Mus musculus: one gene and its partners. The protein of the gene in region 4 purifies or fractionates together with the protein of the main gene of each other region. This does not show direct contact. Links are inferred from orthologs where the notes say so. Each region holds a gene or a part of one and is shown on either strand. Other genes may lie near its edges. The genes, in order: Irf2bp2, Tuba1a, Dnajc7, Bag2, Dnajb1, Sgta and Cep170.

Region 1 (4,123 bases), on a different chromosome or scaffold from region 4:
AGGGGACATTGGAGCCCACCAGAGGACACTTCTCTCCACTTGGGCAATAGACCTCTCCGCTAGCGCCCTGCTGTTTAATGCTTTGTCTGGAGCAAGGGAAACAGAACTTGTGCGAAGGGACAGACGGGCACTGCACAAAGTGAGTATCCTCCAGCCGCTCGTGGCAGAGGGTGCAGCACAGGGGGGCGCTGGCTGCCAGAGAGGAGTCTGGGAGGCTGGCAGGGTGCACCGGCTCCAGTCCTCCGGTGCTGCCGGTGGCCTGGCCCCCCACCTCTCTGGGGCCAAGCCTTCTTTGGTTCATAGAGGAGGGAGAGGGCGGGCTGCTGCTGTTCCTCCTGGTGGTGGAGTGAACCTGGGTGGCATCTTTTGAGGCGTGACTGCCCCCGGCATTGTCTGCTACTAAAATCAGGGCTGCCATTGGGGACTGGCCATTCTGGGCCGCTTCAGGCGGTGTGGTCCGGTTGGAATGAGGAGAGGCAGTAGGGGGTGGTGGAGACACAAAAGAGGATGTAGGGGTGATGGGGATCTTGAGCCCTTCTGTGGAAGTGGACAGCCAAGGCTGTGTCTCACCATTGATCTTAGGGGGCCCGACTTCCCCTTCCGGTTCTGGGGAAGGCTTCCTTTTCCTTGCTGTCCTTGCAACTGGAAAGAGACAGGTATGGAAGAAAAGGAAGATTAACTTTAACGTACCCCCAAAGAGACAGCTCTCATCTTCAAAAACACACATAGTTCTGCACGCAGCTTCAAACATTTCCCCTAATAAAGGGCTCTGAGCCTGCACACCACCTCCAAGGTAAGCCAAGTCATGGGATCCTGCCTGAAAGGCTCCAACCCCAGACCAGCTCATGTGACTGCATTTAGCAGACAGGTTAAAGGGTGACTGCTGCCCTCACGCTTCCATCCAAGAATGTGCTGGGAAAGGAAAACCCCGTGTCGCTGCCTATCAACCCGTTCTGACTCATCCCTGTTGTGCTGGTTCAGCAGAGGGACCACGTTGCCACTAAGCTCTGGTTCAGCCCCGGGCCGACCAGGAAGTTGGCTGTTTGTTGTTTCTGGATTAAGGCAAAACTGTGCATGGAAGAATGGATCCCTACCACCCACCCACCCACCCACCCACCCACGCGCACACACGCACGCGCGCGCGCGCACACACACACACACACACACACACACACGGGTGGGCGGGCGCTCAAACGCTGCCTCTAACCCCACGCCCTCCATCCCTTCTCCCCTCGCCCCGCAGTCGCCCCTACCTGCTTTAGACCCGTTGGCCCCGTTGGCCTCGAAACCCAACAACCTGCCTGCTGCAGTCAGAGCCGGCTCCTTCTTGAACTTGCTCTCGAAGGGCCCCGAGTGGCCGTGCTGGTGCAGCGCCAGGAGCGTGTCCCGCACCGTCTTAGGCCTGCTGGCCCAGTCCTGCTCCCCGGGCGCGCGGCCTTTGCCTGCACCCTCGGCGCTCAGCTCGCTGGCCCCGGCCGCGCTGGATAAGCTGTCGGCCGGACTCCGGTGCGCGGGCTGCGCCTTCTCCTTGCTCGGCTCGCGCGCCTCGTGCTCCGCCGCCGCGCTCGACACAGACGCCGGGCGTTTGTGGGTGCCCAACTCGGCGGGCTGAGCTCCCAGGCCCGGTGTTCCGCTCACCGCGGCCAGTGTGGCCGCAGCACGGCCGCTCAACCCCAGCGCGGCAGAACCGTTGACCAGAGGCACCAGAGTGGGCGGAACGGCGTGTGCACGCCGAGGGTTCGGGCTCTGGCGATTCAGCTCCGGCGGCTCCTCCAGTTTGGAGAACCCGTTGGGCACCAGGATGCCGTTCGCCGGCGCGGACTGCTGCGCGGCCGACTGTGGGAGGCCTGCACCCGCACGCGTGCTGAAGTCGGAGGCCAGGCGCGGGGCACGATCCGGCGCCAGCGGGTAGCGCTCCATAGCCTGAGCGCGCGCGGCCTCGGCGCCCGCGTGGCCCAGCTGCGGCGGCGGCTGCAGCAGTAGGTCCTTGGCCGACAGTGGCGGTGGCTTGGCGGCTGCGGGCTGTGCACCGGTCGGGGAGCGGCCCTCCGGGAAGCAGCCGTGAGCACGCTTCAGCTGGCGGGCCGTCTCGATGACGAACTCCACGCGGTCGGCTCCCTCGTAGTTGACGCAGCCGCGGCACACGGGCTCCGTGAAGTCCCAGATCATGGCCCAGGGCATGCGGGGCAGGTCACACAGATAGCACGACTGGCGCCGAGAGGCGGCCGCCACCGCCACCGCCGCGGCCATGTCCGCACAGCCCGCCGCGCCGCAGGAGGAGCCGGGTGAGGGGACGCCGCCGCCCCCCGTGGATCCCGCGCGCGCGCGCCGGCCGGCCCAAGCCCGCGTCTGCGCGACTAGCGGCGGCGGCGGCCGCAGGCGAGGAGGCGGCGGCGGCAGAGCCCGGGCCGGCGCGGCGCCCGCGCGGCGCCCCCGGGGCACGAGGGGCGGCGGGCGCGCGGCGGGGCGCGCCTGCAGGTCCCCACGGGCGGCGGGGCGGCGCGGCGCGCGCGGGGGCGGCGGCTCGGCCGGGGCCGCGGGCTGGGGCCTCCAGACCGGGGCAAAGACGGGCCGCGAGCGCAGCAGGTCGCGCTGGCGCCCGGGGCGCAGAGCCGCGCGAGGTACGGGGGACGCGGGGCAGCCGCCGGGGCAGCTCAGCCCGAGCGGCGGGGCATGCCGCGCGCGGCGGCGTGCAGCTCGGTCCCGGGCCCCGGCGCGGCCGCTGCACAGCACCCACTGCGCCTCAGCTCCTGCGCCGCCGCTGTTGCTGCTGCTACCGCCGCGGCCGCTCCACTTCTACAGACTTGATTCTTCGACAGCTCTGCACGGCGCCTGCGCGGCCCCCTCCCTCCCTGGCGCGCGCGGCCCCGTGCGCCCGCCCTCCTTCCCTCCCTCCCTCCCTCTGCGCTCTCTCGCGCGCCACCCTGGATTCTTCCGTTTCTCGATCGCGTGCGCGCCGGGACTGAGGCGCAGACCAGTTCACGCGGCCCTAGCGCCGCAGGTGTGCAGCTCGCGTCCCCAAGAGTCCCGTGTCACCCCGCCTACCCAGCCAGGATGCTCCAACCCATGGCCCTGTTCTTTCGATTAAATCGTGCAAACTGTTTTATTTTACATGCAATGCCACTTTATCACTTGGTTACTGGCAGCCTCCTGAGCATGGAATTTGGAGCATAGCGAGGCGCACTTTGGACTTTTCCTTGTTAGCGTCTCACTTGGCTTCAGCTGGGCGCGCGCACGCTATCAACACTCTGCCCTGTTTTGGTCGAGGAAGCAACTACACACTGCCGCTGCCCCTTTAAGTTTTACAAAAACTTAGTGCTCAGGCAGGCCCGGCCTCTTTTGCGCGTGCACTGAAAGGAGGACGCACAGGCCCGAGGCTCCTCAGGCGCCGCCGCCCAGCGTCTTATGTAGGTCTGTGCAGCGAGCGCGTGACGTGGGCAAGGGACGCTGCCACTGCGCAAACTCCACATAAGACGTGCCCAGCGCCGCGGGCCCTGGGGCCGCGCCGAGCTAGTGCACATTCCAGGGATCTGGGCTCTGCAGCGCACCGCGTCACGGCTCAGGACCCGCCCCCGGTCTCTGGCTAGTAGGCCCTGCCCCACCGCCTCCGCGGGGCCGAACTTCGAGTGGCCAACTCTGGGCGCGCGCTGTCCCCTTTGCGCCTAGGGCGTGCGCTGGCGGGTGGACTTGGCTGTCTGTTGTACCATCCGGCTTAGCCCAGTGGGCACAGACGCGCCTGGCAGCATCGCTTCGTTGTTCCCTTCCACGCTGGGCAGTGAGGGCTGCCCAGAGTGGACGGAACACCGAATTGTACACTTTGGTAGGGAGCAGGGACTGGTGTGTGCTGTCAGTGGTCGGTCAGTCAGGCTCTGATTTGAGACCTACTACTCTGAGTAAGAGCCGCTTTTGCTTTTGTGGTGAACAACGCAGGTCCACCTCTCTCCCCAAGATTGGAATGGGCTGGTTAAGTGTGGGAAGAGCAGGGTACTAAGTACATTAGCTTTCCTACAACTGGATTGGAAGGTGGAAAGGGAGGGGGGAAAAATCTGCTGACCTTTTTTTCTCCGGTGGCTGCTATTGAAAAATGCCAGGTTGCTTCAAAGAATAGCCACAAGAGGAAACA
Region 2 (4,157 bases), on a different chromosome or scaffold from region 4:
ACCTGTTTAGGTTAGTGTAGGTTGGGCGCTCAATGTCGAGGTTTCTACGACAGATATCATAGATGGCCTCATTGTCTACCATGAAGGCACAATCAGAGTGCTCCAGGGTGGTGTGGGTGGTGAGGATGGAATTGTAGGGCTCAACCACAGCAGTGGAAACCTGGGGGGCTGGGTAAATGGAGAACTCCAGCTTGGACTTCTTTCCGTAATCCACAGAGAGCCGCTCCATCAGCAGGGAGGTGAAGCCAGAGCCAGTTCCCCCGCCAAAGCTGTGGAAAACCAAGAAGCCCTGGAGACCTGTGCACTGGTCAGCCTGTGGGAGAAAAGGAAATGTAATGTTTTATTAGGAGGGCATACTCTTAGCACTATTTGCAATTCCTTTAGATTGGGAGCCATATTTGCTTGATAGAAAAGACTTGACAGATTCTGACAGATACCAAGACACCCTCCCACTGCATTTTAAACCCATCCATATATGGCATTTACCAGCTTGCGAATCCTGTCCAGGACAAGGTCAATGATCTCCTTGCCAATGGTGTAGTGGCCACGAGCATAGTTATTGGCAGCATCCTCCTTGCCTGTGATGAGCTGCTCAGGGTGGAAGAGCTGGCGGTAGGTGCCGGTGCGAACTTCATCTGCAAAGGGAGAAGACGTCAGCCATCGGCCACCGAGGACACACACAAGCTCACTCACCCTTCTGGGTCTGGAGAGAGATTCTGAGTATGTGACCAAGAAGGAATGCCTGGGGAAGCCCCCAGCCAGCTTACCGATGACCGTGGGTTCCAGGTCTACGAACACTGCCCGGGGCACATGCTTGCCAGCTCCTGTCTCACTGAAGAAGGTGTTGAAGGAGTCATCTCCTCCCCCAATGGTCTTGTCACTTGGCATCTGGCCATCAGGCTGGATGCCATGTTCCAGGCAGTAGAGCTCCCAGCAGGCATTGCCGATCTGGACACCAGCCTGGCCAACATGGATGGAGATGCACTCACGCTGTGGAAAGAGGGAAAAAAATTATAAAATTAAGCTGTTATAATATTAAGCTGTATTTCTATTTTAGATCTTAATAGATTTCTAAAGTGTTTCTAAAAATAGAAATATTGTTGAAATTTATTTGGAGTCACATCCCTAATAACAGGAACAATGAGGAGTACTCACTACAAACACCAAAAGTGGGTGTGGCCTAGATGTCACCTTAATACTGCTTAAGACATGGTGCAAACCCATTGTTTCCAAAGCCTTGCTTGAATAGAACAGCTTTCATATTTGAAAAATATTTAAAGCATAGATTCTGTAAAACAAAATAATTATCCATAATAATACTAATTGCTTCTTTACCCGATAAGTAAGGATGAAGTTTTCATCCTATAGGACCTGGTATTTCATCATGGACATCTGCAGTGCGGCTGGGGCCAACAGCCACACCCTTCTGTGGACCCCATCAGTACTCTGGCTAGGCTACATAATAAAGAGTCTCACACTATAGGACCTTCTATTTCAACACTGACATCTGCAGTGCGGCTGAGGCCAGGAGCCACACCCTTCTGCAGACAGACCCCATCAGTACTTTGGCTAGTCGACAAGCTAGACAAAGTCTGATTTCTGCATTGCCACGTTCTCTGTGCCTGGTGCTAGCCTGTGCTGTTACATTATTTAACAGAGAAAGCTCTATTTCCAGCAGCTGTCTATGCGATCTCTTTGTGCTGCTTTCATGGTCCCTCCTAACCCTGGCTGGGGCCATTAGCCTGAATTAATGAATTAGTGCACATTTATTAGAACAAAAGATGGTTGGGTGCAGAGTATAATTTTTTTCTTTGCAGAAAATCCATTGTTTTTTGAAGGTTTTCCACTGTATGGAATGGAAATATTCTTAAAGCAGGCTAAGTTAGAAACAATGAGCGCCAACATTTTTTAAAAAAACAAGTGAAAAGATAGCTAAATTTAAAAGTAGAAAATAATATTTTTATCCTATGAATCTCTACATACCACTAATATTTCATTCTATAGAGATACACGTCTGTTGTGGAGGGACTACTTTCATTGTCTGCGGGGGTGGGGGGCGGGGAAGGGCGTTTCCCTGGGTTCTGACCATCAGCGTACTCTAGGATTCACAAAGTGGGCTTTGTCATTCCCCAACCATCCAGCTCCCCTCCCCCCTCAGCGAGATGTCCCCGTTAAGCAAATCGTATTTTTGACAGCCCTGCAGACGAAACATCCCATGACTACAGTTCCACAACGATTTTTTTTAAAGTAAAAATAAAAATAATTAAAAAAAAAAAAACCGCTCGGAAGAGGCTTAGTGAGAACCAACCCCTCCCAAAACGCCACGGAAGCAAGAGACAAACAACCCCGCCCCTGCGCCTCCCTGACAGCGGCTGCCATGGATCCGACGCAAACTAAACATTTTCCTAGCGAAGTGGGGCGGTGTTTCTGGAGTTCGGGCTCGGCCGCCGCCCCTGCCCTCCTACAGCAGCGGACCCTCGATCCCCCACCCGTCCCCGGCGGTCCCCGTGGTCCCCTGCAGTCCCTGGCTCTGCCAGCGCTAGCTCATCGGCGCTGCCTTTGTTCTTCCCGGTCTGGGCGTTTCCGTGTCCCGCACTGCGGCGGCGGGACTCAAAGACTAAGATAAACTTAAAGCATGGAGACCACCCTTTCCCCGCAGAGGTGACCAAAGCCTTAGACGTTTCCTTGCAGATCTGGGGCGACTGACACCCACCCTCTATCTACCGAGAGCCGGGGAAGGCTTGCTCACCATGGTTGCTGCTTCGCGGCTGCCGGGTGGATGGCGGAGGCGAGGAGGAGGTGTTGCTTCTTACAGCGCGACTCTTAGGCGGTCGATGTAAGAGAACCTGCGGCACTTGGGCGGATGCGGCTCCTTATATACAGCTCTGTCACCATGGGGATGGGCCAGGGCCTTTTCCTGTTGGTCCAGACCCCTCTGTCTGCCCAGAGAAGCCGCGACAGGAGAGTGGTGATTGGTGCAAGCGACATGGTATGAGGTAATCTCTCCCCCACCCCTTCCCCCTAGCATCCGTAGACTTTGCATCCTTCAGACAAAGGCCGTGCAAAGGCAGCTAGCCGAGCATCCATTATGGGGTGGAGTTGGGGAGGGGTGGAAAGGGAAGAAAGAAAACTGGGGTTGGATGATTATACGTAGTTTAAACCTTAAACTGTATTTAAAAATCATCTAAGGTTTTTCCCAACACTTAATCACAGAATTTATGTTTAGAATCTTTTTGGAAAATTCCAGCTTTTCATTTTTAATATACTGAATTTAATTACGTTCTGTCAGAATTCAACATCTCTATTTGCTTTAAAAAGTAGCAGAAGATACGGGGGTGGTCAAAAAGGCGTGGCTGAATGTTTAGTTTCATAGTTATTGTATTATTGTTATTCTTTATTATTATTTGAGCAAAAGTCAGTACGAGTAGACCACGCCTGTGACCTCAACAGCACCTGGGAGTCAGAGGCAGGAAGACTTGCAGCTCAAGGTCATCTTAACTGGCCTTAGTGGTTTATTCCTGTGTATCCCAGCACTGGGAAGCCGGGGATTGCAGCTAATTTGTGCCCACCCTGGATATATAGTGTGATATCCTGTCTCAAAAACCAAAAGAAAAAGAAAGAAAGAAAGAAAGAAAGAAAGAAAGAAAGAAAGAAGAGAAGAGAGAAATAATATACAAAGTAGTACTTAATACTAGAGAGCTTTCTTTCTTTAGCTGTAATTCTCTCCCATCACCCCTCCGTGCCCGCCCCCCTACCCCACCCTACCTCACCCCAGAGCCTGTGTTATTTTGTCCCTAGAAATGAGCCATCCTTTCTAATATGGAATTCAGAAACTGTAAGGAGAAAGAATTGAGTTTAAAAACTAGCTCTTTGTGTGGGCTTGTATTTCTCCAGTCTTTTTTTTTTTTTTGGAGGGGGAGGGGTGATATCAAGTAAAAAATAACTGAGATGCCAAATTAAAAAGAGGAGCGTTTTATAATATAAAAGGAAACCATTTTGTGATGTTTTCATCCCCAGACAACTGTGCAGTGCCAGCCCTGCTGCAGTTTTATGTAGTTCCCTGAATTCTGTAAATAGCCCCTTCCGCAGCTGGGCTTCTGACTGTGGGAACTGTAGCTGCTCTCCCCAAGGCTGCTCAGCCAGAGACTGTGGTCCTT
Region 3 (4,162 bases), on a different chromosome or scaffold from region 4:
AAATTCAGGAAGGAAGAAAAAAATTGTTTCCCCCCCCCCCGTTGTTGAAAAATGGGTGAAAAATTAAATTCGTTAATTAAGGCAGTGGTTCTCAACCTGTGTGGGTCATGACTTTTTTTGGCAAACCTCTATCTCCAAAAATATTTACATTACAATTCATAAGAGTAGAAAATTTATAGCTACAAAGTAGCAACAAAAAATAATTTTACGGCTGGGGATCACCATGACAGGAGGAACCATATTAAAGGGTCACAGCATTTCAATTCACTGAGGTCCAGCTATCATTCTCTATCCAGTGGCCCAGGTAGTTTCCACTCCGTCAGTAATGATAAGGACCTACAAATAAGGTTAGGGACTTTGACACACACTTTCCTTAAGGGAAATTTAAATTCCATTGTCTTATTTTCGTTCCTTTTGGCTTTAAATTACAATTTCAAGGTCGTCTCCTCCCCACATTTAACCTCAGAGGGCCTCAATTTAATCCAACACTGTTGTGTGTGGTAGTGGTACTACAAAGATAATTATGCTGTCTTCCCAATCCAGACAACATCTGGCCAGACAAGCGTGCTGGGTAGAGTTTATGAGAAGTAGGAGTACAGGGGACACTGAGGAAAAGGGACCTCACCCCATGAGCTGCCTTATAAACTCCGGGGCAGGGGCTGGCGCGCCATGTCATCCTTTCTAGGCTTAACGCTGAGATGGCACTCCCAAGCGGCTGACATGAAAGCAGCCTCATAAAAGGGTCCGCGTCATTGGGGTGATGAACCAGTTGGTGCTTAGAGATCCGTGGAGGATGAAAGGAGCAGGGTGAAGACGCCCTGCGTTCCCCTCGCTTGGTTGGGCAGGGCTTCCAGGAACTGATGAAGCTGGGGATTGGGCTCAAAGTAGCTCTTCATGCCTTTCCAGGGAGGAAGCTGTGGACACACTGCAAAGTCAGGAAGGTAGTCTTGGGGGGGGCTTTTCTTCCTCAAGTGTCTTGGGGACCCCGTCTCCACCCACCAGGGACTCCCAAGCGTTACCGGAGGCTCTCTAGGATTGCTAGTTGTTATGGCAACCGGGCTGTAGGGATACTGAGGCAAGCTTAGGCCCAGAGAGGCAACCTCCTTCTGTACCCTCCTCCTATTCACGGGTAAAGTGGCGCCCCCTACGCACAGGAACCGTCCCTGGGCCCCCGCCCCAGCGCGGAGACCACCGTGGACCTCCAGGGATGGAAGGCCGCTCTGGCCCCAAGCGGAGCCTCTCGTTGGTAGACGGGCTCGAGGGAGTCCCTCTGGGCGCGGCGCCGCCGAGCGGCTCGATGCTCCGACCGGAAGTGCTCTACACCGTCTGCCTCCCACCCGGCTCTCTGGTCCCGGCGGTAAGATGGCGGCTACCGCGGAGTGCGATGTGGTAATGGCGGCGACCGAGCCTGAACTGCTGGAGGACGAAGACGCCAAGAGGTAACCAACCGGGTGGTAGAGTCATGGAGGAGACGAGCTTGCAGCTCGTGGCTTGGGGCAGGTGGACCCGCCAGCGAGGCAGCCCCCAGATGCAGAGACGATGGCTCTCCTGCAGACACCCCCCGCCCCCATCTGAGCTGGAGTCGACCGAGATCCCTCTGAAGGGGTACACTTAGGGGGTCTGCTGTCCCCTTCTGCTTCCGCCTAGCAGGGAGCTTGAGGCATGGTCTTGTTCTGCCGCGGGGAGGAAGGTGGACTTCATCGTGGAGGCCGGGTTCCCGGGCGGGGGCGGGGGGAAGGGTAGGAACCCCAGAGGTCGGCTGCAGAGTGGGGGAGGCGTCGCGGCGACAATGACGACTTCCTTAACAGAGCCCCGACCTCCGCCCGCTCTGGTTAACTTGTGTGCATTGTTGCCCGTCCTGACTGGTCGTCTCCGAAGCCCGCATTCTCCTCCTCACTTCCCTTTCCTCACTAATGACCCTTAGTGGTCTCTAGTGTGAGGCTGAGAGAATTGGATGCTCACTGTATGGACCTGGTCGCCCCCCACTCCCCGATAGCCGTAGAAGTTAAGAATGGATAGACAGAAGGGCGAATGAGGAGCTTGTCTCTTGCAGTACGGGGGCAGACGCTTCTTCGCCATTCCTCCCAAGAGCATTCTTAAGCTCAAGGAGAACAGCTGTTTAAATGCAGTTGGCACTGCTGGGCAGCTGCAGTGGCTCGGGATTGCTAGTCTGGCCTAGCCTAGGGAGGTGCTGAGTGAGTGGTTTTTCTCGAACACTTGGTGAATTCCGACACCAGCTTAAGAACGGGTTTTCAAAGCGGGGTGGGGTGGGGTGGGGTGGGGGGGTTAGAGTACGCTTGGGAGCGGGCGGGACTTGTTCTGATACCAAAGGTGAACTGATTCTTTTATCAGTAGCATGATTAATTTGATCCTTTTCTTAGGATGGACTACAGTCCCCTTACTCTCCTTCCCTTGTGGTTCATGTTCATACCAAGCCTGTAGGGAATGTCTTCAGGCTGAATAATTTGAACAGAGTCAGTTCAGGAGGTCTAGAAATCAGGATTCTGAGGGGTTTACTGTCCAAGTTAGACTTATAAGCGGTACTCGGAGAGATACGGGGAATATTGTAGTCATCAGGTGTATGGTAGTACCTGACTTGAAAGCTGAGATGCTAGACAAAGTGTAGTTGATCAAGAGCTATCAAGTTTAGCCTTGCCTCCTCCTCCTCCTGTTTGAGTTTCCATGTCATTACAGTGTCTGGAGTTAAGCATCATCCGCTCCTATATAACTTAAGGTATTGCCAAATGAGAACGGAAGCCCCTCGCTAACACAAACAGAGCTTACATTTTATTTTACTTATATTTGGAAAGAATTTAGTGCTTCTTACTGCTATAAATAGGGACTTTGGCTATATGTCATTTGAGGAATCTATCCTACTCAAGTGTAAATCTCCTGTAGAGAGTGTCACTGATTCGGACTTGAAACAGGTCTCTATGTAGACCAGCCAGTCTTGAACTCATAGAGAACCGTTCATCTGCCTCTGCCTCCCAAGTGCTGGACTAAAGGTGTGCACCGGTTACACTAGGCTAACTTCTGTGTCCCCTCTCTAAAGCAACTCCTCCTTAAAAGACCAGATTAGCTTTAGAGGGTATTTTGTCATAAATGGTCATAAATGTTTATGGACAGATATATTAAACAAAGGCTGAGTATGGTAGCACACATCTGTAATCCTTGCACTTGGGAGTCAAAGGCAGAAAGAGCTGGAATTCATCAGTCTGGGTTTTATAAAAAGAAGCTAGACGTGGTGCTCACCATAATCCAGCACTTGGAGGCAGCGGCAATCGGACAAGGTCAAGGGCAGCCAGATATCCACAGTTTTAGGCTAGGCAGGGGTGTGTGTGTATGTGTGTGTGTGTGTGTGTGTGTGTGTGTGTGTGTGTGTGTGAGAGAGAGAGCGAGAACATAAAACAGGAAAACAAATAGTGTTACAATGCAGCCACATCATGTAAAGCATGGTATTTGGTTAACTGATTTTTTTTTTTTTTTGTGGAATTTAATGTTATTGATTATAAAATAGTTATTGGGACTGGAGAGGTGGCTCAGTGGTTAAGAGCATTGACAACTTTTCCAGAGGACCTGGGTTCAATTTCCAGCACCCACATGGCAGCTCACAACTGTTTGTAACTCTAGTTCCAGAGGGTCTGGCTCTCATAGACATACATGCAAGCAAAACATCAAGGCACAAACAAACAAACAAACAAACAAGCAGTTATCTACTACCAAGTCAGTATAACTGTAAATAAAAGTGAAAATTGCATTCTTTTTTTTTGGGGGGGGGGGGTTCGAGACAGGGTTTCTCTGTGTAGCCCTGGCTGTCCTGGCACTCACTTTGTAGACCAGGCTGGCCTTGAATTTAGAAATCTGCCTGCCTCTGCCTCCGCTACCACGCCCGGCTGAAAAATGCATTCTTGCTGGGCGGTGGTGGCACACGCCTTTAATCCCATTTAGCACTTAGGAGGCAGAGGTCAGCAGATTTCTGAGTTCAAGGCCAGCCTGGTCTACAAAGTGAGTGCCAGGACAGCCAGGGCTACACAGAGAAATCCTGTCTCGGGACAAAAAAAAAAAAGAAAGAAAGAAAGAAAGAAAGAAAGAAAGAAAGAAAGAAAGAAAGAAAGAAAGAAAGAAAGAAAGAAAGAAAGAAAAATGCATTCTTAACAGACGT
Region 4 (3,500 bases):
CATTGTTGATGGAAAGCATTTTGGATCTGGGAGTTCAGCTGCTTATCTCCGCAGCTCTCTAGCCCACTGTCTCCGGGCTGTCATACTGCTCAGATGACCGCGACAATGCACTTGCCGGCTCTGCCTCAGATCATCTCTATTAGTCTCTACTTTTACCTAGGCCCTCTGCTTTTACTGTACCTGCAGTCAGGACCTTGTAAAAAAAAACTGTTTCTGAGGTGAGCTGCAGGGCTGTACTACCTGCCCACCCTGCTGGCGCTCACACGGCTTCTCCCACCATCCCTGCCAGTGTTAGGGGAGCACTGAAAGGAAGACCACCGACAGACAGCGGACCGACGGACAGCGGACCCACAGCTGCAGGTGCACCCCAGCTGCTGTTACTGCTGAACGGGGTCAGGCAAGCCCTGACTCACGCCAGCCCAGACTCCCTAGGCCTCCAAGGCGCCCCTCTGGAAACAGCTCTCACCATCGCTAATCTGCCTCATGTCCTGGCTGTTTTGGATACTGTGGATCATCTCCAGAAGGATTTCTTTCTCCTGCTCAACAGCAGTAGCTGCGTCTCTCAAAGCTTCCACCCTGTGTGAATTGGCAAAACAAAACAGTTGTTATAGGGACAGTGTCCTTCCTGGTAATTGTCCTCGGCTGCCATCTCAATCAGCTCAAGTTTAAAGGACAGCAAGGACACTTTTTAAAATGTATTTCTTAGTTGCCAAGGTGAGAGAACTCTCGTCTTTAATCCCAGGAAGGTAGACCTCCGAGTTTGGGGGCCACCCCAGTCTACGAAGAGAATTCTAGGGCAGCCAGGGCTACACAGAGAAACCTTGTCTCAGAAAGAAAACAAGTGAATGGCATTACTTTCAAACAGTTTCTTCCCTGGGTGTTACTGTTCTGTCAAAGGCAGGCCTAGAACTCGCAGCAATCCTCCTGCCTCGGTGCTTAGGCAGCAGGCAGCAGCCACTCTCTCTGGCCCCTGTGTGCTCGGCTGTTTCCTGCTCGGGGCAGCGTTAGACTCCATGCTCATTTACATGGATTTGTTCTTTAAAAACTCTCTATTAGTACACTTGGATTTTGAATTTGTAGCCCCCCCCCCCTCTGGGTCCCTCTCTCGATCTCTTCCCGGCTTACTCTTCAGAACCTCCCGGTTCCTGGGGCTCAGTGCTGCGCTGTCCTGTGTAGAACTTCTGCTTCTCTTCACTCTGACCCCTCAGAGACGGCCACTCACACTCACTTCAGTGACTTAGCTGGAGTCTGCGTGTTCAACACATTGACTCCTTACTGGTCAGACACGATAATCTGTAATCATCTGTCCTGTGAGCTTTGTTGAAGTTGGCCCTCACCGAAGAGATACCACCACCACCACCACCACCCCGCTCCCAGAACTCTATTACCCAGGGTGGCCCTGTGCTCTGTTTCAGCCGCAAGCCCCTGGGATAGCCCGCATGTGTTAGCCTATCCGGCTAAGGGAGCCTCGATTTACTTACAGGTTTGCTGTTATGTGCCTGAGTGCTTTGGCTGCATCTGAGTGCGTTGTGCACGTGCCCGCAGAGGGCAGAAGAGGGCGCTCACTCCCCTGGAACTGGGGTTACAGATGGTTGGGATAGATGCTGGGAACCAAACCAGACCCTCTACAGTGGCGGTCAGTGCTCTTCACCACTGAGCCACCTCTCAAACTCTGCTGCTGCTGCTGTTATTACTGCTATTATTTTGCAACAGGATTTCCCGGCATAATGCAGGCTGGCCTTCCTGCCTATGATTCCTGAACGATGTTTTCAGTCTGCCGTGGCTTTGTGTGTGGCTTATACTTTTGAAGTTTTAAGTTGCTTTTCTCATATTCTGGTCATAATATTTTCCCATGTCCTATTTATAGTTTTACCTTCCTGGTATTTATTTGTTAAGTCCACCGAAATAGACTCTGACATTACATCAGATCCTGTGCTACCTATACAAAGTGCACCTTTTAAATCTCTCCTGTGATTAAACTGGCTACCCTCACCCCACACCTGCCTTACAGCATCACAGGCTCTGTCCCATGTAATAATTGGCAGAATGGCCTCCCCCCCCCCCAATGGTTATTCTGTAAAGATAACATAGATATTTATCCCACCACATAAACTGTACAAGTTTGATTTCTTTAAAAAATGGGGGGGGGGGCGTGATTTGACATACTTTTTGACAATGTAATTTAATTTATATCTTGTTTTCTTCAGTTTTTTTTCTTGGTTTTTTTTTTTTTTTTTTTTTTTTTTTTTTTTTTTTTTTTTGGTTTTTCGAGACAGGGTTTCTCTTTATAGCCCTGGCTGTCCTGGAACTCATTCTGTAGACCAGGCTGGCCTCGAACTCAGAAATCCGCCTGCTTCTGCCTCCCGAGTGCTGGGATTAAAGGCGTGCGCCACCACGCCCGGCTCAGTTTTTTTTCTTAAGATTTACTTATTTAATGTACATAAGTACACTGTTGCTCTCTTCAGACACACCAGAAGAAGTCATCAGATCCCATTACAGATGGTTGTGAGCCACCATGTGGTTGCTGGGAATTGAACTCAGAACCTCTGGAAGAGCAGTCAGTGCTCCTAACCACTGAGCCCTCATTTTCTTCAGTTTTATAGATTCTTTATTAGCTTTTAAATATTCTTCACTGAAGCCTTATGGATTTCTGAGTGCTCTAGAGAACTTGTGGGTTTCGTTGCAGAAAATTGTAATTACATTTCGGTCAGTTATTACTGCTGGAGACATGCTGTTTCTGCTGGCTCAGCTTGCAGCTGGCCGTATCAATGGCATTAAAGTCTAACGGCTACCTGCCCCATCTATCATTTCTTCCTAGATGATCATACCATCTTTTAGAAACCTTTGTGTCTTTAATACAATTGTTGTCTCTTTACAGCATTGACTGCTGTCTTCTAGGTCTGTACTAGACAGTTGCAGGGATGGGGTTTTGCCTTTTCCCAAATTTAAAGGGAAAGCCTCTTAAAGATTTTGGTATAAAACCCTGATTGTCACATAGGACACTATCACACACACACACACACACACACAAAAGCATAATTACTATTACTGCACACTGAGAACAAACCTAGGGTGTTTGACTCATGAGAAGCAAAAGAAAGCCGGGCATGGTGGTGTACGCCTTTAATCCCAGCACTCGGGAGGCAGAGGCAGGTAGATTTCTGAGTTCGAGGCCAGCCTGGTCTACAGAGTGAGTTCCAGGACAGCCAGGGTTATACAGAGAAACCCTGTCTCAAAAAAACCTAAAGGAAAGGAAAGGGAAAGGAAAGGGAAAGGAAAGGGAAAGGAAAGGGAAAGGAAAGGAAAGGAAAAAGAAAAAAATCTCACCCATTTAAGAGATTTCTGTTTCCAGGTCACTTTTCTTACAGGTTACAGTGACCACATTCCCAGCTTTTGTAGAGAAACAGTGACAGATGACCCTAGAGGTGAGGCCATGGGCAGGCATTCAAACCAGACCACTAGCCAGGGAGAGAACTGGTTCACCAACCTCTTATTAGCTC
Region 5 (3,970 bases), on a different chromosome or scaffold from region 4:
GTGCGCGACTTTGAAAGATTGTAATATATTCTGTGGAAAACATTCGGCAGAGCAAAAGCCCTCCCTGGGCCCTCCCGCAGTATGCAACCAGTGGAACGGTCTGGAGATCTGCAGCTCTGAAAGCCCCTGGCTCAGTCCTTGAGGAGTGCAGGTGGCTATATGGGAAGAACCTGCTCCAGGATGGTTCTGGATGAGACGGGAATCCTTTCCGGGAAGATCACTTCAAACTCGATAACAAGGTCTCCACGTTTCTCAGGTGTTTTGGGGAGAGGGAGGCCTTCTCCAGGGACTTTCCGCCGCATACCAGGCCTGATGACATCTTTGAATACAACAGGGATGGTCCTGCCGTCCAGAGTAGGGACATTCACAGTGCAACCACAGAGAGCCTAGGGAAGCAAAAGGACAGTGTCAGGCAGTGGCTGGCTTAGGAGCTTCACTCCTCCAGACCGTCCGGAGAAGGGTCAGGTCTACCAGACCAGGCCCGCTGACACCCCACTCCAAAGCCCCCCCAACCCCACAACCCATTATTCTCACAGCAGCCATCTCTTTTTATGACTCCTCCACCCACCTAGCACCTTACCTCCCGAAGGCTAATCCTGGCTGGATAGATGACATCAGAACCATCTCTCTTGAAGATATTGTGTGGCTTGTCCTTTAAAACAAAGACGATGTCTGCTGGAATGTTGTTCGAGGTCTGGTCCCCTTCCTTGGGAAAGGTGATTTTGGTCCCTTCTTTCCAGCCCCTCTTCACTTCGATGGTCAGGATCTTATCTTCATTTCGAATGCTCTTTCCATCAGGGTTCAGCCGCTTGTGGGAGATTTTCATCTTCTTGGTACAGCCGCTGTAGATCTCTTCAAGGGAGACCCGAAGGTCATGGGTGACTGGAGGATCTTGCTTCTTCCGGGTGGGCTCTTGAGAAGGGCGGGAACGTCCAAAGTTCATGTTGGTGAAGCCACCCATACCCATTGGAAAGCTAGAGAATGTGTCATCAATGTCCATGCCTTCTTCCCCGTTGCGCTGCCCAAAAAAGGTATCAAAGGGGTTTCTGCCACCGAAGAACTCAGCAAACATGGCATGGGGGTCTCCGTGGAATGTGTAGCTGAAAGAGGTACCATTAGCACCACCACTGCTTCCTCCACTGGGGCTACCACCCTTCAGGCCTGGAAACCAAAACCACAAGTCAGGGTTACTGCTGGAGAGTCAGCCCCACCTCCCTCCACCCCCAACACTTCAACACACTTATAAAACATAAAACCCCTGAAACAAAGAGCTCAGAACCCCAGCACTCTCAAGACAAGTGCAGACTGATCTCTGCAAGTTCCAGACAAGCCAGAGCTCCACCATGAGGTGCTGGAGAAATGGCTCAGAGCACTGGCTCATCTGGCAGAAGAACCAAGTTCAATTTCCAACACCTACATAGCAGCAGACCATGGTCTAACTCTAGTTCCGGGACCTTTAATGCCCTCTTCTCTAGAAGCATGTGAATGGTATACACATATACACGGAGGCACACGCTCAAATAAATTGAAAAACAAAGTTCCAGCAACAGTGAGGTCCTGTCTCAAATAAATGGTCACATTTTGTTCCTTTTGCATGTATTACTGTCAATGCCACGTAACACACAAACTTTCGTCCAGAGTAGCCTCAAGGCAATCCTCCTGACTCAAATACCCCAGAGGGGGGATTGTCACAACATCCGGTTCCTTTGGAAACAGGAGCTTATTACCCTGTAGCTCTGATTTGAAGCAAATTCACAGCGTTCCTAATTCGGTTTCCCATGTGGAGGTGTGAGCCCCCGCACTCTGCTCAACAAGTTTTGCTCTTAGTAAAAAGGCCACAGGAACTATAGCGGGAGGGATTTTATGTATATATTAAAAAGCTTGTTAGTCAAGGACGAATCTCAAGTCTTTTAACTCCCAATGGCAATAGGAGCAAGAAACACACTACTCCGTTTTACTTCCTGACAACATATTCGGTAGTAAGGCCTCTAGATCTCGGTGCGACCAGGTTTACGTGACTGCTCCATCCTCCCAGCTATGCTGTTACCATCTTACAGAGAAGCTCCTACGCACTGTTACCAAAAAGGCTCAACCCTGGGTGAGCGAACACTGAGCTTGCGGCTAGGAAAGAGAATCAATACTCGGGCAATTTTCATTCCCATCGCGACCGCCGCCCTCCATCTGCACCATTCCGGCGCTGTGCAGGCGACCGACCGGGAGGGGCTGCGGCAGACGTGCTAGAAGCTTCTGTGCCAGCGGCGCGCCCAGAGCTCCTCCTCCTGTCTGAGGCCGCGGATCAGAGGGTGAAGGAGGCGGCGCCGCCGCTAGATCCCCGGAATGCCTGTCCCCGGCCGAGGTCTTGGAGAGGCTCCGAGTGCCTCGGTTTCCCCGCCTGTCAAACGGCGGGTCACCCCGGCCGCGCGCACACGTACCTTCCTCTCCATAGCGGTCGAAAATCTCGCGCTTGCGCGGGTCGCTGAGCACGTCGTAGGCCTCGGCGATCTCCTTGAACTTCTCCTCAGCGCCGGGCTCCTTGTTCTTGTCCGGGTGGTAGCGCAGCGCCTGGCGGCGGTAGGCTCGCTTGATCTCGTCGTCGGACGCGCCGCGGGCCAGGCCCAGCGTCTGATAGTAGTCCTTGCCCATGGCCACCGCCGCCCAGCTGTCGCCGCCTCCGGCTCCGCTGCTGCCCCGTCCCGGACTCTATATACCCGTCCGGCGGAAGCTTCCAGATCCCGCCAGCCCTCCAGAACCTTCCGCCCCTCCCGATGCGCCGCACGACACCGGCCAATCGCTGCGGCCCGCTCCGTGACGCAGCACATCCGGGGTGGGACCCGGCTGCCAACGGCTTTCCGCGCGGGGCCACGCCCCTTCCCTCTCTACTCTGGTCAACGCCTTCCTCGGGCGCGCGCGCCGGCTGCTGGGGTTCCGCCTCCGTAGCGGATCCAGCCAATCGCAACCCTCTCTCTCTCTGCGGACAGGTGGAGGCGCGAAGAGGGGCGGGGCTACAGAGACGGGCCTCTCCGAAAGGCCGCACCCTTTCCCCCAGGTTATCGCCGGCTGGGAGGTTCTGCTGCGTGACTTGTGGTAGCTACCTGACAAGTACCTCTAAGCTTTCCTGCTCTAACCCAGGGATAAAAATAGGCACCCCGCCCTCTTCTGCCCGTAGCCCTTGGTTTTTCCCGTAAGGCCGTTACTGTAAAGCGAGGTGAGACTGGTCTGCCTTGGGCTTGCTGCAGTCGGGCTGCCTCTCCGGTTTATCTTACTTCCTACTAATTCCTACTGGGTTTAGCTCGCCTCTTGGCGTTCTGATACTTGTCACTTCCTTTGCCGTCTGAGTTTACCACCAGGGCTGCGTGATTTTTTTAAAGATCCACTGGGTGCTTCGTAAATATTTCCAAATACTTTGATATAGTATAGCTTTTTGCTTTTGGTTTTGTAAGTCTGGGATGATGGCGGTCAAGGACGGAGCTGAGTGAGGAAGAGGAGAGAGCTTCAGATATTGGAAGGCATAGAGAAGCTGGAATAGTCATTGGTGGTTCTTGCAGGGAATGGGACTGCCTGAAAGTGCATGAAAGACTGACTCTCATCCTAGCACTTTCTGGCTGTGTGACCTTGGGTTGGTAGAGTAGCTTTTCTGGTCTCAGTGTGGTCATCTGTACAAAGGGAATGGTCGTGGAATATGGTGAAGTTGACATTATTCTGCATTTGTTAAAGACAAGGGACAAAGGGTGTTCTTGAAAGAGATGATTAATCATCTTGTTTAGTGGACAACTGTTGACATTCCCTTTCTGGAAGCTCTGTAGGAGGAGAGTCAGATAACCCTTGCCCTAGGCACCCCTGAGAAAAATGACTTTAGCCTTCCGTTAATGGTATAGCTGTGTGTGGTGTATGTGTTTTGATTTTCCTAACTGTACTGACCCCATGAAAACCGAACCAGTTGAGCCCTGCCCCCCGCCTCCCCATGGATTTG
Region 6 (3,500 bases), on a different chromosome or scaffold from region 4:
CCCATGCAGAGCCATGGACAGGGAGGGTCAGCCTGGGTTAAATGCCAAGACCACCTGCCTTCTGGGAGCCACACGTGGCCTGCAATCAAGACCAGGAGTCTGCCTGAGCGCGTGGGTTGGGTGTTTCCTGAGCTGCGTCATCCACACAGGCCATGAAGCTTTATTTTCCTCGGCTTCGGTGTTTTGAGACAGGGTCTCACTATGTAGTCTTTCCTGTCCTGGAACTTGCTCTGCAGACTAGGCTGGCCTCAATCTCACAAAGACCCATCTGCCTATGCCTCCCAAGTGCTGGGATTAAAGGTTTGAGCCACCAAACCAGGATCTTTTAATTTTTAAAAATATTTTTTGTTTTGTTTTGGGGACAAAGTTTTATGATGTAGTTCTGGGTGGCCTAAATGTACCATGTGGACTGGGCTTGTCTTGAACTCACAGAGATTTGCCTAAGTCTGCCACTTTAAAGCATAAATATATATTATTCTGAGTGGGGGATATGTGTGTGTATGTGTGTAGGTGCAGTGCCCACAGACACCAAAAGAGGGCACTAGATGCCCCAAACCTGGGCTTAGAACCAGCCCTGAGCTAGCTGCCTGAGAGTGCAGGAAGCCTCTAACTGCCACACCATCTCTTCAGCTCCCCAGCCCCGCCCCCGCCAATGGGACCTGGCTGATCTGGGCTGCATCCCTACAGCACTTTGCACAGACCCCATGGGGACATCTGTCTCCCTCACCTTCCGTTTTGAGGCGCTCTGCCTCAGCTGAGTCCTCTTCAGAGGGTGGTGTCCTGTCAGGGGCCCGCGGGTCCTGTGGCATCTCCTGCTGGGGGTGAAACAATCTCACTGTACCCTGCCACACCTGCCCTTGCAGGATGCCACACAGCTCAGAGCGCTGTCAAGCCTCAGCACAGAACGGCACACTGCCATCGTGGGCACAGTCAAGGGAAGCCCAGGCTCACCTTGCTGGAAGTGGCTGCTTCAAATATCTCTGGCAGGGTCTGGGGGAGAGCAAGGTCACTGTCCTCCAGCGTCACCCCGAAGGCTGTCTCCAGACACTGGATGGCAACTGTGCAGGATATGAGATAAGCCAGTCTCACTGGAGCTCATGGGAGGCCCCACCTCACTGGAGCCCACAGGAAGCTCTGACATCTTCCATTTTTCTTGCGATAGACTCTCATGTAAGCCCAGGGTACCCTTGAACTCTCTACATAGGCAAGCATGTCCAAGAAACCCTGATCCACCTGCACCCACTTCCTGGGTGCAGGGATAAAAGGTGAGCACGACCATACCTGGTTTGAGCCGGGACTTCACACGAGCTGGGCAAGTGCTCTTCCCAGCAGGCCCCAGCACAGCCCTAGTGAGTCTCCAAACGCCTTAACACCTGGCCCTGTACCTCAGTCCTTCTCAGTCCCCTGCAGTCAGCCTCTCAGACACACATGCTCACTGGTCTGCCCCTGCTATGCTGACAGTAAGAGGGCAGACACATGGGGCCTGAGGTGGTGTGTCCTTTGGGGTTACAATGCAGGGGTTGGCTCTGACCTGGACTATCAGCACAAGCCACTGTGGAGAGGTTAGTGTCCCTGTGGCCTGGGGCAGCCTCCTTTCTGCAAACTGGTATCCACACTGTGGATCTGCAATTCCTGGAGACAAACTGCCAGGCTGCAGGAAAGCTGGCTACGACAGCAAGCAAATAACTCAAGCTTCCAGAAGCCTCTTAAACAGACCAGATGTAACAGGCCCCTCACACACATAAGCAGGAAGGACGGCTCTCAGCTTCAGAAGCCGCCTGCCTCCTGCATCTGTGGCATCCTGAGCCCTAGCAGAGGCTGGCAGGGCAGCAGCCCACACTCACCCTCTAGGCTCTCCTGGGCGTCACACGAGAGCCCACCGTGCCGCAACTGGCCATGGAGGAACTGGATGATGGCATAGGCCAGGCGCTTCCTGTTGTCCATCTCGAGACTAGTGAGGTGACACTGCTTGCTCAGGATCTGTGGGAACAGCACAAAGTACTAGGTGAGGAGCCAGAGATGGAGGAGATCTGTCCTTGACTCATGGGTCCCAGACCCGACCACTACCAGAGTCCAGGAGAACTGGTCTGTTCCAGTGTTAGGGCCACCGTGCAGAGCCTTTCTTCCTCCCCCATGACAGGTGGGGATAGCCTGGGCATGGAACCACAGACCTGTCTGCCACAGTGCTAGGGAGAAGGGCATGCCTTGAGCTGACAGTGTTGCCTCAGGGCACTCTTTTCCTCAATTTACCCTTTTGCAGCATACCAGCCAGTCAGTGCCACAGTGCACGATGAGCAGGGCTATATTCTGGGATCCCAAGGTTTTGAGGACACCAGCTCCTCGATCCACCCTATACCCAAAGCTTGGAGGTGCTGCAGCTCACAGCCCTGGTCTGCAAGGTGCACTATGTGGTGACACAAGGACAGTTCTGGACTCTAGAGGGACAGTTGACGGTGGCTCTCCTGACCACGTCAGAGTGACTTCAGCCCAGGGAACTTTCAGAGGCAGCAGGTGAGTCAGAGTGGGCACAGTGTCAAGGCCGCATCCCTGAGCCTCAGAGGGAGCCATGAGGGGTGGACTGGCACTGACAGACACTCTCAGAGAGTGTTTAGACCCCTGTACAACAGCAGACACCACAGGACAGAGTTGAGAGAAGGCAGAAAGAAAGACACCTGGAAGCTCGAACCATGCCAGTTCAGATTTGTGGCCTCTCTAGTCTAGACAGAAGAAATTGGCCTAAAGTTTTGGCACCTAGCATGCGATCACATGACAGCCACCATAGCCCTGCATGTAATGGAGAGGCCAGCATGCATGGGACTCTCAAAGACAATAGTGAGAGGCTGTGGACCTCTGCTCCACGCCAGAGCCCAGTTGTGGTGCCTGTTAAGTAGAGTTGAAGAACTTCACAGCCACCCAAGGGGACAGCCCAGCTCAGCACCCCATCCTGAGTTCCCCTGGAGGCAGACGTGAAGCCAGCAGTATTCACAGGTGCTGGGTAAGATTCTGGAATGGAGGTGGTGATGTGAGGCACATCCTTCCGTGTCCCATGCTCCCTGTGCCTGTCCCTCCCCCATGCACGGCAGGCCACCTCCGCCATTCCCTTTGTCCTGAGCACCCTGGAATGGAGGAGTTGTGGTGGGGTGTTGGCCAATCACCAATAGACATGCTTGTGTGACCCAGGCACCCTGGCTTGAGGACATGCATGCCAACTGCACCAGTTACTACCACTTTGCCATGCTTTCAGCCCCTCACCTAGCACCTAAGAACATTCTAGAAAGCAGCCTTGGACCAATACCTGAGAGCAGCAGAATCCGATCTCAAGCTAACACACATTAAGAAAGCATTATGGAGGGCTGCTCCCAGGCTGGTACCCACGGCCGTGGATCCCACAAGCAGACCATATCACCTGCCACACAGTGTCCCCTAAGCTTCTTAACAGAGACCCCGAACCCCAGAGACCTTTGGAGACAGAGTCTTCACAGAGGTGACCAGATGGGTCT
Region 7 (4,109 bases), about 140 Mb from region 4:
ATGATGATGATGATGATGAGATGCAGCCTTTGGGAGGGAGCAGAATCAGTACTCATACAAAAGACACAGAAACTAAGAAGGAGCTTCTTGCTCATCTATCCCATTGCACACTTAGTTGATGCTATCTCTAAGGAAAAGACCTTCAGCAGATATTTAACTTGCTAAAACTTTAAAAGTAGCCCTTGGAGTTTTCACAACTATAAGACATAGGGCTGTAGGCAAGCCTTTTCTTAATTACTAATTGATGGGGAAGGGTCCAACTCATTGTAGCTTGTGCCATTCCTGGGCTGTGGTCCTGATTCCATAAGAAAGCAGGCTGAGCGAGTCAGGAAGCTGCACCCCACTACCTCGTGGCCTAAGCATCCACTCCTCCCTCCAGGTTCCTGACTGGACCACACATGCTTTAGTCAGGGTGTCTCGTCATAATAGTAAAAAACCTTAACTAAGGCACTGACAAAAGCATATACAGTTTTTGTAGTTATTTTCCTATGGCTTCCACTTTATTTTTAAGAAAAAATTCTCAATATCCCCCTGCACAATCCCCTGGTGCTACTGATCAAAGCCAAACCTAACTGCCCACACATGCTAGGCAGTATCTATACTGAACTACATTCCCAGTGTTTCAATTCAGATTTTATATAGTGGCATAGAAGTTTATTTTACCAACCTGTAATTTATTTAAATTGGTTTTAAAATTGTAAACATTAAAATGGACATTTCTCACAGATCTGTGTGGAAATCACTGTTTTCCCTTGGTTTGAAAGAGATATATCAGATCTGATGCAAATACAAATGCAGAATTCTAAAACTCACACTAATTTCAAAATGAGATTTTTTTCCTCACTCCCGTGCTTATACAAATATTTTATAATTTTTCTAACTTGATAAAAATATTTAAAAAAATTAGTGACAAAGTCTAAGATAGAATCGTGCCAAATTAAACAAGACTAGGCAAGACTATGTGACAGAGATAATAATAGCTGGTGAATTATCAAAGTGTGTGCTTTTTGACTCAGAGCTTTTAGAAATTTTAAAATATGTAACAATTATATTTAAATCTGTAAAAAAAATAAGTAGCCTTCACTTTGCAATGTGTTAGCTGTACAATTAGGAGGATTTCTCTTGAGCAACCACAGCAAATAACACTAAAGTCCTCAATATATATATACATATACATATATATATATATATATGGACATATACAAACACATATTCCCAAGGGTTCCAAACTCATGGATCCAAGAAACTCAGATGAAAAATACTGGAAGGAGAGAATAATTATGCCTGTTTTAAACATACACAGATATTTTCACTTGCCATCATTCCTCAAGTGATAGAGAACATTAAGCATTTGTGGAATACTGCATTGTATTAGGCACTGTAAGTAACACAAAGATAATTTAGATAATGTACATAGGAGGATCAATCAGAGATGGCTCAGTGGGGAAAGGCACTAGCTGCCCAGCCTGATGGCCTGAGCTAGTCCCTGGAACTCACACAGTGGAAGGAATGAACTGACTCCTCCGAGATATCCTTTGGCCTCCTCTTGTGTAGCATATCATGTACACAAATAATTGTAGCTTTTTTCTAAGTATTTAAGAAGATGTCAATAGGTTATATACAAATACTATTCCAATTTTATTTAAAGGTCTCAAGCACTGGAAGATTTTATTCTACTTAGATACCAAGGGATAACTGCCTTGTGTGTGCTCTGCTATTCTGTGGACAAAAGATGGGGCTTCTCATATGCTAAGCACAGAGTCTCGCACTGAGCTATACCCTCAGCTCTTATATTTTTAAATTACAGTTCCACAGGAAGTCTGTTTCCAATGTGTTTTCCACCAAATTATTTTATACTTTATGCCTCTTTCCTATGATTGGCTCAAATCAGATTTCTAGATGTTTGCCTGGAATGCAAGATTCCTTCCTATTTAAGCTCTGAGGCTTGAATGTGTGATGTGTTATTCCATATAACATATAACATATAATAAACATTTAATGCTGTAGTGTTTGGAGTCTACAGTTATCACAAACTTAACAACATCAATGCCTTTCTTGGTGCTGAAATAAATAAATAAATAAATATGCACATATATATATTTCTCAAGTAATTAAATTTGATACAGTGACTGGACACTCTTACCTCCAAAATTCCTTTCTTCCCTTGGTTTCTGGGGTACCACACAATTTGATCCCTTCCAGTTTACTGGTAGTGTTTTAATTTTAAGAATCCATAAATCTCCTCCTCAGAATTTGTGTCATGCATCCCATTACCCACTTGATATGTTTACTTAGATGTTCAAAAGGAGATTCCTAGCTTTTACAGAAACTCTTGATTCTGTAAAGCCAGACATGGACAACTTTCACCATCACCATCACAGTACTTCAAGTACAGTTGCTTATATCACTCCAATTAATTCTTAGCTCATTTTATTTCCATACTTGCACCCCTGTCACTGCTACATATAAAACAATCCTTTCAAAGTCCTCAATAAATTCCCACGGTACTTAAATAACATCAACCAATAAAAGCTCCATCCCATTTTAATTCCTCCTCCTCTTCCCTTCTCTCACTCATCTCCAGTCACAGTGGCCTCATTGTTCTCAAATTCACTTATCCCATTCCTTGCAGAACCACACTGCATATGAGAATATTCTCTACCCAGATACCTACGTGTGTCTTCCCCCACTTCTACTGGAATGTTAAATATCGGGGTGGGGTGGTGAGCACTGTTTCTGAAGACTCATTTCTCAAACACTCAGAAGTAACAGCATTCAAGATACAGTGAGTGTGCAGTGAGCCTCTCTTTCCTGCCAAAGATGGAAGGAGGGTTAAGATTATTATTTGTAACTGTTTGAATTGAGATACATAATATATAATAAAGGTGCTTCACTGCATTAGCAAAACTGGTAATTCAGTATTTACAAAACAGTGGTAGGAAGGAATTTACACACCATTTAAAAACATTGAACCACTTGAACCATTTGTATGTACTTACAGATTGAAAATCAAAAAGGAAAGTCTACCATCCCTCACTCTCTAATTTGATTAATTTTATTCACTTTCTTTTGCCTTCTCTTCTGTCAACCGGCTTAGGATTTATCAATGCTATTTGTAAAAATTCTGCCAACTTTTCATGATTAATTCTGCAGCTATGGTCTAAACACAGTTGTAGTGAAACCACTGTCCTCATTTAAGCCCATGCTGTAGTGTTTGGAGTCTACAGTTGTCACAAACTTAACAGCAATGCCTTTCTTGGTGCTGATAAATTCTGCTTCATAGCACTTTTCCTTACTCAACTTTATTATCATATAGTGATATCACTCATATCTTCAAAACTCCTAGTCTCATTCAATTCCTTTGTTAATCAAGGAAAAGAGAAAAGTAACCAAACTACAAATAATTTTCATTACCTTTGTATCACTTCTCCACCCCCAGCACATTTTATGTGGCACTGATTCTATTTATAAATCTGGATGGTTTTATCCTTGGCTATGACAATTACTCAGACAGGATGAAGACATTAGAGATGTTTATTGAATTTATAAATGTTCAAAAGCCAGGAAGGGAAGCTAATCCCTTACATGAGAAGATAGAATCATCATTCAAGAAAACGTCAATGAATTTGTACTATAGTCACATTAAAACAGATAAAACTGAGTAGACAGTAAGGGTAAATCATTGCTTCAGAAATATCACCCATGTTATAAATGAAGTATGAGACTAGTAAATATACATAAGGATATTTATATAGACTGCATCAGTAATTTTCAGACAAAAAATTTCAGAAAACAAAATGAGAACCAATATAAGGGTGCTGTTTCTAATGGTTAAAAACAATAAAAACTACAACTAGTATCAAAGAAAACTTATGACTTATTAAGAATATCAGTTCATAAGAAAGAGTACTTTAATATTAGGAAAGCAGTACAGAATTTCACCCTCTATTACAAGAATGTAACTTTCAAGAACCATGATTCCCCTCCCCTGGATGTCTCAGAACAGAAAAACATTACTGTTGCTAAGGACATGACACAACGTCAGACTGCAAACAAACAAAAAAGGACAGGGCTTTAAATAAGCAATAGGTATACAGCCAGACTATAAC

The links.
Region 1: the proteins of Bag2 (region 4) and Irf2bp2 purify together in Homo sapiens (affinity purification with mass spectrometry; 3 studies listed by BioGRID and IntAct, with this or other methods). This does not show direct contact. The link is inferred for Mus musculus from reciprocal best matches to the Homo sapiens genes BAG2 and IRF2BP2.
Region 2: the proteins of Bag2 (region 4) and Tuba1a purify together in Homo sapiens (affinity purification with mass spectrometry; 4 studies listed by BioGRID and IntAct, with this or other methods). This does not show direct contact. The link is inferred for Mus musculus from reciprocal best matches to the Homo sapiens genes BAG2 and TUBA1A.
Region 3: the proteins of Bag2 (region 4) and Dnajc7 purify together in Homo sapiens (affinity purification with mass spectrometry; 7 studies listed by BioGRID and IntAct, with this or other methods). This does not show direct contact. The link is inferred for Mus musculus from reciprocal best matches to the Homo sapiens genes BAG2 and DNAJC7.
Region 5: the proteins of Bag2 (region 4) and Dnajb1 purify together in Homo sapiens (affinity purification with mass spectrometry; 4 studies listed by BioGRID and IntAct, with this or other methods). This does not show direct contact. The link is inferred for Mus musculus from reciprocal best matches to the Homo sapiens genes BAG2 and DNAJB1.
Region 6: the proteins of Bag2 (region 4) and Sgta purify together in Homo sapiens (affinity purification with mass spectrometry; 3 studies listed by BioGRID and IntAct, with this or other methods). This does not show direct contact. The link is inferred for Mus musculus from reciprocal best matches to the Homo sapiens genes BAG2 and SGTA.
Region 7: the proteins of Bag2 (region 4) and Cep170 purify together in Homo sapiens (affinity purification with mass spectrometry; 3 studies listed by BioGRID and IntAct, with this or other methods). This does not show direct contact. The link is inferred for Mus musculus from reciprocal best matches to the Homo sapiens genes BAG2 and CEP170.

Annotation. Positions count from the first base shown.
Region 1 is NC_000074.6:126,591,187-126,595,309, forward strand, and holds the start of Irf2bp2 (interferon regulatory factor 2-binding protein 2), read right to left. Parts: upstream 2,801-4,123; 5' UTR 2,251-2,800; coding exon 1,254-2,250; intron 643-1,253; coding exon 1-642. UniProt on the Homo sapiens protein: Acts as a transcriptional corepressor in a IRF2-dependent manner; this repression is not mediated by histone deacetylase activities. Represses the NFAT1-dependent transactivation of NFAT-responsive promoters.
Region 2 is NC_000081.6:98,950,702-98,954,858, forward strand, and holds the start of Tuba1a (tubulin alpha-1A chain), read right to left. Parts: upstream 2,801-4,157; 5' UTR 2,753-2,800; coding exon 2,750-2,752; intron 991-2,749; coding exon 768-990; intron 636-767; coding exon 487-635; intron 314-486; coding exon 1-313. UniProt on the Homo sapiens protein: Tubulin is the major constituent of microtubules, a cylinder consisting of laterally associated linear protofilaments composed of alpha- and beta-tubulin heterodimers.
Region 3 is NC_000077.6:100,616,805-100,620,966, reverse strand, and holds the start of Dnajc7 (dnaJ homolog subfamily C member 7), read left to right. Parts: upstream 1-1,362; coding exon 1,363-1,439; exon of another isoform or gene 1,440-1,786; intron 1,787-4,162. UniProt on the Homo sapiens protein: Acts as a co-chaperone regulating the molecular chaperones HSP70 and HSP90 in folding of steroid receptors, such as the glucocorticoid receptor and the progesterone receptor.
Region 4 is NC_000067.6:33,747,751-33,751,250, forward strand, and holds part of Bag2 (BAG family molecular chaperone regulator 2), read right to left. Parts: intron 577-3,500; coding exon 467-576; intron 1-466. UniProt on the Homo sapiens protein: Co-chaperone for HSP70 and HSC70 chaperone proteins. Acts as a nucleotide-exchange factor (NEF) promoting the release of ADP from the HSP70 and HSC70 proteins thereby triggering client/substrate protein release.
Region 5 is NC_000074.6:83,607,005-83,610,974, reverse strand, and holds the start of Dnajb1 (dnaJ homolog subfamily B member 1), read right to left. Parts: upstream 2,801-3,970; 5' UTR 2,644-2,800; coding exon 2,433-2,643; intron 2,428-2,432; exon of another isoform or gene 2,215-2,427; intron 1,162-2,214; coding exon 581-1,161; intron 387-580; coding exon 156-386; 3' UTR 1-155. UniProt on the Homo sapiens protein: Interacts with HSP70 and can stimulate its ATPase activity. Stimulates the association between HSC70 and HIP. Negatively regulates heat shock-induced HSF1 transcriptional activity during the attenuation and recovery phase period of the heat shock response.
Region 6 is NC_000076.6:81,050,272-81,053,771, forward strand, and holds part of Sgta (small glutamine-rich tetratricopeptide repeat-containing protein alpha), read right to left. Parts: intron 1,981-3,500; 5' UTR 1,945-1,980; coding exon 1,845-1,944; intron 1,059-1,844; coding exon 952-1,058; intron 816-951; coding exon of another isoform or gene 813-815; coding exon 728-812; intron 80-727; exon of another isoform or gene 1-79. UniProt on the Homo sapiens protein: Co-chaperone that binds misfolded and hydrophobic patches-containing client proteins in the cytosol. Mediates their targeting to the endoplasmic reticulum but also regulates their sorting to the proteasome when targeting fails.
Region 7 is NC_000067.6:176,804,325-176,808,433, forward strand, and holds the start of Cep170 (centrosomal protein of 170 kDa), read right to left. Parts: upstream 2,801-4,109; 5' UTR 2,675-2,800; intron 1-2,674.